3 linked regions of the Kluyveromyces lactis genome follow. The protein of the gene in region 1 binds, or shares a complex with, the protein of each later gene. Links are inferred from orthologs where the notes say so. Each region holds a gene or a part of one and is shown in the gene's direction. Other genes may lie near its edges. The genes, in order: HER2, PET112 and GTF1.

What was found.
Region 2: the proteins of HER2 (region 1) and PET112 are in contact, whole or in part, in a crystal structure (PDB 4N0H), measured with the Saccharomyces cerevisiae proteins. The link is inferred for Kluyveromyces lactis from reciprocal best matches to the Saccharomyces cerevisiae genes HER2 and PET112. Residues at the interface, in NP_014021.1 of Saccharomyces cerevisiae: Val56, Leu69, Phe72, Pro75, Phe76, Arg176, Phe177, Gly178, Val179, Ile180, Gln184, Ser185, Met211, Lys212, Asp213, Pro214, Thr215, Ala291, Glu292, Ser295, Asn296, Ser298, Arg299, Tyr300, Arg304, Tyr305, Leu319, Phe320, Arg324, Asn339; in NP_009473.2 of Saccharomyces cerevisiae: Tyr66, Ile69, Ala70, Leu71, Pro72, Gly73, Thr74, Gln75, Pro76, Val77, Arg105, His107, Phe109, Tyr110, Gly111, Pro114, Gln115, Gly116, Tyr117, Tyr123, Leu177, Asp297, Arg299, Tyr300, Met301, Pro302, Pro304, Glu305, Pro307.
Region 3: the proteins of HER2 (region 1) and GTF1 are in contact, whole or in part, in a crystal structure (PDB 4N0I), measured with the Saccharomyces cerevisiae proteins. The link is inferred for Kluyveromyces lactis from reciprocal best matches to the Saccharomyces cerevisiae genes HER2 and GTF1. Residues at the interface, in NP_014021.1 of Saccharomyces cerevisiae: Phe72, Lys73, Pro75, Lys82, Phe177, Lys212, Ile239, Val240, Lys241, Glu242, Phe243, Ser244, His245, Glu246, Tyr256, Leu257, Leu260, Glu261, Ile264, Glu269, Ile270, Tyr271, Pro272, Val273, Ser274, Ile275, Pro276, Lys279, Asn280, Leu282; in NP_011616.3 of Saccharomyces cerevisiae: Gly29, Ala30, Lys31, Ile32, Gly33, Lys34, Lys35, Phe36, Met39, Ile42, Arg43, Tyr45, Leu46, Arg48, Val50, Trp51, Ser52, Val53, His54, Tyr56, Leu57, Ile59, Lys76, Leu77, Leu78, Arg79, Leu80, Ser81, Gly82, Leu83.

What each region holds. Positions count from the first base shown.
Region 1 is NC_006037.1:861,752-865,991, reverse strand, and holds HER2 (glutamyl-tRNA(Gln) amidotransferase subunit HER2), read left to right. Parts: upstream 1-2,115; coding exon 2,116-3,525; downstream 3,526-4,240. Other genes in the region: SLH1 (RNA helicase), read right to left, coding at 1-570; JNM1 (Jnm1p), read right to left, coding at 799-1,881; chromatin segregase YTA7, read right to left, coding at 3,575-4,240.
Region 2 is NC_006041.1:1,835,086-1,839,541, forward strand, and holds PET112 (glutamyl-tRNA(Gln) amidotransferase subunit PET112), read left to right. Parts: upstream 1-1,972; coding exon 1,973-3,592; downstream 3,593-4,456. Other genes in the region: NUP170 (Nup170p), read right to left, coding at 1-19; KLLA0_E20637g (uncharacterized protein), read left to right, coding at 658-1,593; KLLA0_E20681g (uncharacterized protein), read right to left, coding at 4,057-4,456. UniProt on the Saccharomyces cerevisiae protein: Allows the formation of correctly charged Gln-tRNA(Gln) through the transamidation of misacylated Glu-tRNA(Gln) in the mitochondria. The reaction takes place in the presence of glutamine and ATP through an activated gamma-phospho-Glu-tRNA(Gln).
Region 3 is NC_006040.1:1,295,025-1,298,206, reverse strand, and holds GTF1 (glutamyl-tRNA(Gln) amidotransferase subunit F), read left to right. Parts: upstream 1-1,577; coding exon 1,578-2,102; downstream 2,103-3,182. Other genes in the region: mRNA-binding ribosome synthesis protein NOP7, read right to left, coding at 1-1,052; rhomboid protease PCP1, read right to left, coding at 2,193-3,182. UniProt on the Saccharomyces cerevisiae protein: Allows the formation of correctly charged Gln-tRNA(Gln) through the transamidation of misacylated Glu-tRNA(Gln) in the mitochondria. The reaction takes place in the presence of glutamine and ATP through an activated gamma-phospho-Glu-tRNA(Gln).

The sequences.
Region 1 (4,240 bases):
GAGGACTTGTCTTCTCATGTCCTCTTCGGTCATGAATCGGTTTCCCTCGTAAGTATCCGAATTAGACATATGTTCAATCGGAGTGTGTTTCAATATCTCTTGATTCTCAATTAGAAACGATATCAGCTCGATGTTTTCAGCACCTAGGTAATCGAAGAGATCTTGGTCCGCAGTTCCAGTATTTTCATTGTTCCTCAACAACTCGATCAACTGCTGTAGTAGTTGATCTCGAGGGAAATCAGAATCAACATTATCAAGTAGTCTGAATAGCTCTTTGTATACTTGTGCTTGTGCATTAGAAGCTGAATGATTGGATGTAATCAACGATTGTAAGTTATCAGATGAAAGGTTTGCAAACTCTTCAAATATATCATCCCATTCATTCCTATCCTGAGAAGTTACCAACAATTTATTTCTATTATCACTACGCTTAGTACCCTTCTTCAATTCCTCATCGACCTTAGGGATTGTGCTTGTATCTAGATGAGGGAATGCCTGAGCTGCTGAAACCATTACTTCCATCGCCTTCATATAAGAGCCCACGGAATGGACTGAATAAGTCGTACTCATCCTGTACAAAGATTAATATTATCAACCCTATAGCCAAACTACAGTATAACGACTGTAACGGTTTTCCAATATGGGCTTTACGTTGATCTTCTTGTGTTAAAGTCAACTTAAAAGGTGTTCTTTGCTAAAGATTACGAATTATGATTCTTGTGCACTTTTAACAATGCGAAGAGATGAGCTATAAAAAAAAAGGCTACTGACTACTAGTATTAACTATCCATAGAAACGCTATTGGCCACTCAATTTACCTATTCTCACCTCTAGATCGTTGAGCTGTAACTCTAGTTGATGCCTAGTCCGCTTGAAGGATTGTTCTCTGTCGGTAAGCTGTCGTGACGTGGATTCTAAGAGCGATGACCATTTTTCGATCTGAGAATGAACTGAAGACATATGATCGTTAATCTCAGATACCGTATCGTTCATGTCATTCACAGAGGTATGTAGAACGTTTAGCGACTGTACACGTTCTGTGATTTGTGGAATCACTTCCGAGTACTTGTTTAAGATGTTATACTTATCGTAAATGTCATTGACCTTAGATTCTGTAGATTTTAACTTCCTTTCGATATCAGTAGATAGATTTGGGTCTTTCTGAGCTCTCCTTCCGATGATCGACTGGTCATACTGATCACTTATCTCTTTCATTTTATTTTGGAATCCAGTCAACGTCGGTTCATCCAACTTGAGGATATTAATCTCTCTGTGAAGTTCATTGATGATTGACGTTATCGATTTATTCGTATTCGAGGGTCCGATTTGTGACTCCAATATGGAAATCTTATGCTCAATATCCTCCAGCTGCTTCAATTGGTTGATTTCTATCCTGATGTTTGGAAGTGTAACCTCATTTTCTGTATCCTCGTCTGATGCTATGACCAATTGGCTTTGTATGTTTTCCATTGTACTTTCCGTAGACTGAGCCAACGTTTCATACAATTGCTTCAAGTTCTGTAATTCGTTTGAGGAACCATCCTCCTCGGAATCCTGCTCTATCTCAAGGAGCTCCCTCCGTATCCTTGCCAGCCTCTGCCTTCTTGTTTCATTTATATGTCTGATATTATACGTCGGCAGTGCGTATAGTTTTCCTGAAAAATCGGTATCCTCCGAACTTAGCACAGAATGCTCGAACCTTTCGTTATTCTCTTGAACCTTAGGTATTTCCTCCTCAATTATATCTTCATTTGCCTCGGTAATCACTACTTGGTCTGGTGTTTCTTCAACATCACTGGTCTCATACACTTCTTTCCCTGTATCGCCTTGTAACCCTAATTGTTCCACCTCAGTAGATAGATCGATTATTTCAACAGCCATGAGTTATTCCCGGTCTCTAGTTATGAATGTGCGCTAGTATGTCCCATATATCGGTCCCTAATCGGGTTGTGATCTTTAACTGTTCAATAGTTAATAAGTTTCATAGATATGAAACCTTAGAATCGAATTTAGTTCTTTTCAATCAATACACTACAATATATTACATTGGGAAGTGAAAATGGAGTGACTTACTCTAATTCTCTTTTAATTGACCATACACACTCGCTACTGATCATGTCTATCAAGACGGCACTTTCGAGGCTCCAGCAGATACCGGAGATTCAAAGTCGCTACAATGTTTTCACATATGTTAATGAGAGAGCATCGTCGCAATTGGAATCAATAGATAAGAACACTACCGCAGATAAACCGTTGAATTATACCCTGGCCGCCATTAAGGACAATATAGCCACCAAGAATATGCCTTCTACATGTGCCTCTAAGATTTTAGATGGCTATATGTCGCCTTTTGATGCCACCGTTGTTTCGTTATTGCTAGAAGCAGGAACGGTGATAGCTGGTAAAGCCAACATGGATGAATTCGGTATGGGTTCTGCTGGGATACATTCTCATTTTGGGCCAACATTCAACCCGCTCTTTGATCACAAGGATCGAGTTATCGCAGGTGGTTCGTCATCTGGATCTGCTGCTGCAGTAGCATCCGGAGTTGTTGATTTTGCATTAGGAACTGACACAGGTGGGTCCGTAAGGTTACCAGCCTCATACACTTCAACTTTTGGATTCAAGCCGTCGTATGGTAGGCTCTCAAGGCATGGAGTTATATCGTATGCTCAGAGCTTGGATACGGTAGGGGTATTTGCGAACGATTTGTCTATGATTGATAGGGTCTTCTCGTTGTTAGATAAGCATGACAAGAAAGATCCAACTTCGTTAAGCGAGGAATTGAGACACAAGTTTACTTCATTGACAACCAAGAGAAAGACTTTAAGAATAGGTATACCGGAAGAATTTTCTCAGGAAAGTGTTCCTGCTGAATTTAGAGCTGCCATGACGGCGATCATTAAACGTTTAATGAAGAAAGGGCATGAGGTATATCCTGTGTCAATTCCATCAGTGAAAAATGCACTATCTATTTATTACACGTTGTCTCCTGCCGAGGCAGTGTCTAATCTTTCCAGATATGATGGTGTCCGGTACGGTTATAGAGCAGAATCCGATGTTGAAGATGGTACTTTATTTACACCAACAAGGTCGGCATTCGGACCGGAAGTTCAAAACAGAATCATCTTGGGAAATTACAACTTATGCTCAGAGTCCTTTAAGAACAACTACATTAAAGCTCAAAAGCTAAGAGTCCAACTAATAAATGACTTTGATCGGGCTTTCAGGTTCCCAAATGTGTTAAGTGGGAACTCTGTTAATAAAGACGGCGTTGATATCATGTTGTCCCTAACCTCAACTTCATTTCCTACTACCTATGATGAAGTTGTGAGCGAGGAGAATAAAAACCCTTTGAATACATACATAAATGACATATTCACAATGCCCATGTCATTATGTGGGCTTCCAACAATGACTGTACCGGCAGGGCACGCATTTGGTATTCAAGTATTCTCTCAACACGGTAATGATTACGAGTTGTTAGATGCCTGTTCTGAAATTGATGCACTTGTAAATAGTTAAATGAGTTGAAGTTTAGTTAAAATCCATAATTCTATAAACAGAAATTCTTTTATAAAGTCTTGATAAGCCCTTCTAACTGATCGAGAGCATCCGTTTTGTCCCATGAAAGTCTATTGTTCCAGATGACGTTGGCTATGGATGCATAAACTTCTTCTAGTTTCTCTACTGTGAAGTTTTGTGTATTTTTTTCCAGAGCAGAGATCAAAGAGAGAGCTCTAGATTCATCGTAGACGAATTCTGGTTCTGGTTCTAATTCTGACTCTGGTTCTGACTCTGGTTCTGGTTCTGATTGAGCTTCTGGTTCTACTTCAGCTTCAGTGACGCTCGGTGGTTGCTTTTCCTGCTCCTTATTAGTTGCATCTTCAGTATCAACAGTTAAATGCGAATTATTGTGACTAGTCTGAGCAAAGCCATTTTCCGCATTGGTAAGCCTGCTCTCCGAATAATCTTGAACAGTGTCCGTTTTTGCCAAATCAGCATCATTGGTTCCAAAGTTCACAGGCTGTGTTGTGAATGGCTCTACTTGAGACGTTTCACCTAGATCTAGTGTACCCGCATCTAATTGAGCCTGAGACTGCACTTGGTTTCCTGAGGCGGTAGTTAGTTCAACTGTAGCGATCGAATCAGTTTGAGTTGGATTGTTCTGCAAAAGTATTTGTTGTTCCTTATCCACTCGTTCACTTTTTTCCTTTATAAATAATTCTTGTCTTAGAAG
Region 2 (4,456 bases), on another chromosome or scaffold:
GCGTAGAATATATTGACATCTGTCCTGTCTTGCCGATACACTGTTAGCTCAAGTCTATACCCTATTTCCGAAATTCAAAAAAGACAAGTACACAGATACAGTAAAGCAAAATTTTATGCTGAGCAATCAGTTAACCAATTGGACAAAGTGCCCTTAGAGAAACATAACTGTTAGACCTGGTTCTGCAAGGTAGATTTAGAACATCATCTTTATTTGTTTATTCAGAGAACCAAAGAAAAAAATTTGAAAATGATTACCCGGAACTGGTGATCTAAACTGGAACATGATAGTGAACTCATAAAGGCCAACAATACCATTACAGTTCGACAGATCAACTTTATTCTAGTTGCAAAGCATTCAGTTTCTTGATTTCACCCATAAGAAACATCCAGTGTATGTTTTCATGTGATACGTGACGATATATATTAGTATTAGCAACTATGGGTACTTTATCATGTTCATTTATTTTGACACTTTTGTGACAAAATGTCAATAAATTGGTACTATAGGTAATGGAATATAAAAGATGATACCAGAAACCTTGGGTCCTGATTATAAGTTCAAAATTAAGTAAATTATCAATTAAATCTCCTGCTTTGAAAAGTACTACCCGGCAATTTTCCTATAGAAAAGCGTTCGCTCAAACAGAAGGCAAAAATGGTCGGAAAGCTTAGAAGAAAGATCCCATTGGATAACCAAGATGTTAATACCCAGCCGGCGAAAAGGATGTGCTTAAAAAAAAATATCCTATTGGAAGATTTGAATAAGGAGAATATTCCGATTGAAATACCTTACTTAAACGAAAGCCCTCAATCAGCTAGCAGCAGCCTTACAGGGGTTTTGAACTTACATCTCGAAAAACAATCTCCACAACGCAAAAGGCTGTCCACCAATATAGAGACGGACACTGTGTTAGATACGAAAAAGCAAGAAGTTTTGACTTCTTTAAAGTTAGAAGAATTACAAGATAATTTTAAGGACCTTGAAAGAAGATTAAGCATTCAAAATCGTGATTATTTCATCAAAGACGCTCACTATTCAGATGAAGATTTGACGAAGTGTAGAACTAATTTTTTGTTTGAATTGGAATGCTTACCAAACTTGAGCTGGTCTCAAAAAGGTAACCTTCGAACTGCTAGCTATATTCCGTCAGTGTACCAAAAGTTGGACCCAAATTGGTATTTTTCACAGGCGTTTTCAATTGATGATTTTACCAACTTGCCTGAATCAGTTAAGCCATTCTATATATTAAACCCAATGAATGAAGTACCAGAGTGCAATAACCAACAAATTGAACCAGTTGGACCGGAAAAGGCAACTGTGCATATTGAAAACATCGAACCTCTTTCTAAAATGATACCCAGCTCCAAATTAAAATTCCGTGCTAAGTCGTGTGCTTTTGATGAAGATATTGATTGCCAACTGTTGTTTAAGCAGAAAATTTCAGATTGTAACTATTACGAAGACGAAGTTGATCAAATATCACTACCAGATAGTTTGGATCACTGTAGATCTGTTAAGAAAAAGGTTACGGACGGAAAGAAATCTTTGAACAGAAACTCTATTCTATTCCACACCGATAAAAGGAACTAGTTAGAAACAATAATTATGGCTGTTCGAAAACCAAGATAATTCTGAAACGGTGTATAATATTTATGAAAAATGTATAAAACAGAATAAGGCAAACAAAGCTCAAACTATCCAAATACACTGTGTGCACAAGTTATGTCACTTTCAATCGTCAGTTAAATAAATCTGTCATCGTGCTTATGGCACATTTTCTAAGGTTCGGGTAAAAAACATGAAATTTGAATTAACAGAAGCAATGAACATGAATATAAAGACAAACATACTTGACAAAAGAACGGCTTTTAGGCGCTGTGTGTTAGTGATTTTACCAACTGCTTATTAGCTGTTTTTGAATTTCTAGTGGGTGTTATACTACTGAGTGATAAGCTATAAATAACCAGAAATGTTGGTGTTTAGAAGGAACTATGCTAAGAGGAATACTGGTTCCAAATTCAAAATTCTTCCTGAGTATAAGTTAAAATGCGGACTTGAAATCCATACTCAACTGAATACAGACAATAAGCTTTTTTCAATGTCAACTAACAGCCCGTTTGCAGATGTGGATAAGCCAAACTATCATACATCGTATTTCGATGTTTCGATACCCGGAACACAACCAATACTCAACTTGCAGGCAGTTCTATTTGCATTGAAGTTATCGCTAGCATTACGATGCAAGGTCAGTCTAAACTCACATTTTGACAGAAAACATTACTTCTATGGTGATCAACCATTGGGCTATCAAATCACACAACATTACAATCCTTTCTCAAGTAAAGGTAAACTACGATTGTACAAAGATTTAGACTCTATTGAAGAGGCTTTCAAAGACATATCTGTCATTCAGTTACAGATAGAACAGGATACAGGTAAATCTGTATATAACTCTACTGACTCCAATACAAAAATCGACTTAAATCGTTCGAATGTGCCATTGATCGAAATGGTGACTGAACCCGATTTTACAGACCTAAAACAGATAAGAGCTTTCATCAAGAAATATCAAAACCTTGTCAGACATTTGAAGATATCTACAGGTGACCTTGAAACGGGCGCGATGAGGGTTGATGTAAATCTTTCTATTAATGATTACGCCAGAGTAGAGTTGAAGAATTTACCAAATACTAGCTCAATCACTAATGCTATCAAATACGAATACAATAGACAAGTTAACATGATAGAAAAAGGCGAAGGTGACCAACTCAAACACACAGAAACTAGGGGATGGACAGGTTCGGAAACTGTTAAACTCAGAACTAAGGAAAGTATCATAGACTACAGGTATATGCCGGATCCAGAACTACCAAATATTCTTTTAACCAATGAAATAGTTGAAGGAGTAGAAAAGACAATTCCAACGTTACCAGACGATACCTGTATGATGTTAATGCAAGAGCCCTACGGTCTAACTTTAAAAGATGCAAAAATTCTCACAATCAATAGTAATGGCCATGATGATTTGTATTCCCATGATGAATTAAGAGCATGCTATTTTAGTACATTTGATGCATATCACTCATTATGCAAGAAACAAAACGAAGAGTTCGTGAGAAAACTACCTGCAAATTGGATAATTCATGAACTTTTGGGAAACCTAAACAAGATGGAAATTCCTCTCATCAAAGTTTCCCATATTCTACCTCCGGAGAAATTTGCTGAATTACTCTTGCTAATCTCTAAGAAAACCATCAGCAACGCCAGTGGTAAGCTTTTATTATCGCATATTTTGAATTCCTTTAAGGAGAACTCTTTTGTGGCTTCTGAGCCAATAAATTTCAATGCTCTAATTGAGGAATTTGAGCTACATGCAGTCTCAGATGTTGGTTCGGAAGAGCTCGAATTAATTTGTGAAAGTATAATTACCGAACTCAACAATAACAAAATGATTGAAGATATTAAATCTGGTAAGAAGAAAAATTCTATTAAGTTCCTTGTCGGTCAGGCCATGAGGATATCTCAAGGTAGAATACAAGCTCAAGAATTCGAAATTACTTTCAAAAGACTTCTTGGTGTTGAACCGTGATTACATTCCTTCGCTAACATGTCCACACTATCATCCATGTAAATACAGAATAGATAAGTTCATAATGAACATACTACGATCCAAAACTATTTTAAGATTATTCAAAGGATAATTCACCGAAATACCTTTTAACTACCTGACTAATATGAAAGTATATACCATTTATAAAATTTCCTTACTATAAACCTTGTATACCAAGTGTGTAGAACCATTCTACAAATACTGAATAAAAATATTAGGGTACCCATACCATTGAAAAGAAAAATTAGGCAGTCACCTTCTTAAGGTAATTGCAACAATAAACAAAATCCAGGTTTGGAAGAAATGAAGAAATAGAAACTTCAGGCTATAATTAGAGGGGAACCGAACTTACAATGTACAGTTTTTCGGAAAGATGAAACTACTCATGGGTTGTGTAGTTGCATTAGTGGAATATCGCATAAATTTCGAAACGTTGAAATTCTTTAACTCCAAACGCTCATGTCAGAATTCCAGATGGAAACAGAAGAAGTAGTTGGTTGGGCAGAAGAGTCGTTATTCCAAGTCGAAGTTGGTTCAGAGAGCATGAAAGTCGAAGATAACGAACTTGAAGAGTATAACCCCCCTCCATAAGGTAGTTGTGGATCATTATTTTCAGTAACTGATGATGACGAAGGTGTTAAAGGGTTCATAAAGTCATGACCTTGAGAGAAAGACTGTTCGATAAAATTACTACCAAAAGTTGGAAAAGATTGCTGTTGCATGTGGAATGGCTGCGAATGCAGTGGTTGCTGATACTGTTGAGGTAAAGACTGTAAACTCTGATGTTGTTGTGATAAGAAACGATTTTGTTGCTGTCCAATGGAACGATTATTGTTCATGTCC
Region 3 (3,182 bases), on another chromosome or scaffold:
AACAAAGTAGCAACAGGAGAATCGAATTTAGAAGGTTGTTCTAACTGGTCACCTTGGTTCTTATTAGTATCTTCAAATTTATCCAATTCAACGTCTTCCACATTTTGTTCTTGGTCTTGGTCTTGTTCCTCTTCGTCATGTTCATTAGAGTCTGCCTTCAAAGCGGTCTTTAAGGTATTAGCTCCCAATTCCTGAACTTCAACGTTTTCCGATAGCTCCTTTGGTTTCACAGCCAACGAACTCTTCTCATCATTAGATTCCAAGATGTATGCACTTAATCCCCCGATCAGCTTGTTCTTCTTAATATCCAACTTCGGAGGATATACCAAACCGGCATCTGTGTACAACTTGAACAAAACGAAATGCAACAAAGTAGAGTAAAACTCCAAGAAAGTTAACATGATCCTGAAATCGACATCGCTTGGAATATTTTCAGGGAACTTGTATGGTACCAACCATCTGACATCTTCACCTTTTACACTGGCTTGGTAATAAACACCCTTGATGGAAACAAATACCTTACGTACGCATCTTTCCTTGGCAATGTATGCAGACCATTGATCACACATTTGCTGTGCACTTTGTGTGATTCTAGAAGACACTTGATCGGTAGCTGGCAAGTTGGCGAACAAGAACAACATGTTCAAGGCATCGTCCACATCTCTCAAGGCATCAGCAAAAGATGGATAACGTTCCTTGATGATATTATCTAATTGATAGTTAGGTCTGTTCTCTTCCAATCTCTTAGCTGCTGACACTTCTCCTCTCCCTAGAGCCTTAGTCAACTTTTTAGCAAAAGTCTTATGTTCTCTGAACTTGGCCAATACAGGCTCATGCATCAAATACTGAATATCCTTATAATAATAGAAAGTGGTAGGAGCCGTAGATCCTTTATTAGCCTTCTTCTTATTCCTAGGTTCTCTGGGGTAAATACCCTTGAAGATACACAATCTTCTAAAATCAGCTAAAGAGATCTGTAGTTTACGAACGGCCTGAGACCTGGTAATGAAGTTTCTAGCATTACCTCTGGTATTTCTCTTCTTAATTCTCATCTTGAACAAAAAAAAGTATCTCTCCTTGTCTAGTTAGTTAGCTATCTTTTAAACCTGAACCTGGAAGATTACTCTAGCTTATCAAATTGAATCACTTTATAACTTAACTAGAACCACCAAAGACAAGCTATCGAGATAGCAATTGTCTATTCAATCATTCATTGTACGTATAATAAGTGATGTATGTGCAATTTGTATTTGAAGCTCATCGCATCTCATCGCATCTCGAAAACGAAAATTTTCAGAAATTGAAAAAGAAATTATCAATCACGTGATACAAATATTCAGACTTAAGTTGACTACATCCCAAAAGGGGAATATTTGGGGCACAATATCAAAACCGTACAAGATGAGTTTCTGAATTTATTCACGTGATCATTAAAATGTTTAATTACAGCTTGCACGTCGGAAATGTAAAGAAAGGTTCCTTATTCTGACTTTTAAATTTGAAGAGGATAAAAACGTTGTGACTGGTATATTCCCGGGCTCTCACCTGTATATCTCAAACATCTCATACCAATAACAATGCTTCTTGCTTTAAGAAGAAAAGCAATCCACGGCATTCGTTTCTCCAGTGGTAAATGTGGTCAGAATTTGAGTGGCTCCACGATAGGACCGAAATTTACCAGCGATAAAGAGGTTGAAGAATTTTTGAGTAAGAGTACATGGGATGTACGAGAATATGTTCCCTCATCGGTAGATGAGAAATTGATTCCATCAGAAGAAACTGTGGTGAGATTGTTAAAGATTTCCGGACTTCCAATAAAGAATATAGACCAGATTCAAATCAGGCTTGCGAACCAACTTTCGTTCATCAACCGTTTGCATAATCTTCCTGTTGACGAAAATATAAATCCAAACCATGCAAGAATTATAGAAAGGAATCCAACTCCGTTGGATTACGAGGGATTAATCAAAGGGATTGCAAGCCAGCAGAAATCGGACTCATTGGGCGAAATAAGCGGATCATGGGATCCTACCAAAACCGCTGCAGTGAAAAGAGATGGGTTTTTCATCTTAAGGGAAGGCCTACTTAAGGGAAGAGATTGAATATTCAGGGTTGGGACGAAATAGCCCTTTATTTTAACTCATATGTACTATTTACAGAGGTAGAAGAAGTAAAAAGATGGTAAGTATAACTCAGAATCTTGGGAATACTCCAAGGGATAACCTTTTCTCTCTTTGTTTCTGGATAGACTTCGCAACTAGCCATCCGTACAATACACCCATCGCAGAACCACCTAAATGTGCTGCATAATCGAATGACCCCCATCTCAATGCGCATCCTACGACGTTCCATGTCACTAATCCAAGGAATGTGAACCATGCACCGAATGGCACCGGAAAGATGAAGAACATCATCTTAGCGTTTGGAATCAAGTACGAGAAACAACCGAATAATCCGAAAAGAGCTCCGGATGCTCCCAAACTAGGACCCATCATAGCAATTTTAGCAAACCTGGGGTACCATAGAGAGAAAAGGGAACCAGCAATAGCACTGTTAAGATAGAGACTGGTGAAATTTCCAGGTCCCAACATCGTGACTAAACTGGTACCGAAGGAGAACAAACATATCATGTTCATACCTAAATGCCAAAATTCCTGATGAGAGAATGCACTACCTAGTAAAGACCATTTGGAATAAATGTGATCTTTTTGCAAAAGCGCATATCTTTGTAGTGGTCCCCAAAACCTTGGCAATTGCCATAACCCAAAGACGGCCAGATTAATACCAATGATGGCGTATGGTAAATGGGTCGGGTGTCTCTTGAAATATGAGAATGGAGGGATCTGGAAAAGGTATGGAGCCAACATCAAAGTACCACCCATGAAGAGTACACCATATAAAGTAAGTTTGATCAATTCGCTGGAGTTACCTGAACCTCTATTATACTGTTGAAATCTGTTAAGCCTGGTGTATCGGCTTTGCGATCCATTGAACATATCCCTAAGATTAATCTTTGCATTAGAAGTGGTAGTAAAGAATCGGGAGCGTGGCTTGAAAAGGGCATTAAAATTACTGGTTCCCTTTCCGAGCATAAATAATGACGATTTTAAAGGTGTCAGCAGCGAAAGCGGAGCTGCTATCTTAGGAGCTTGCAGATGAATTGCATTGCTGAGAAAGAACTG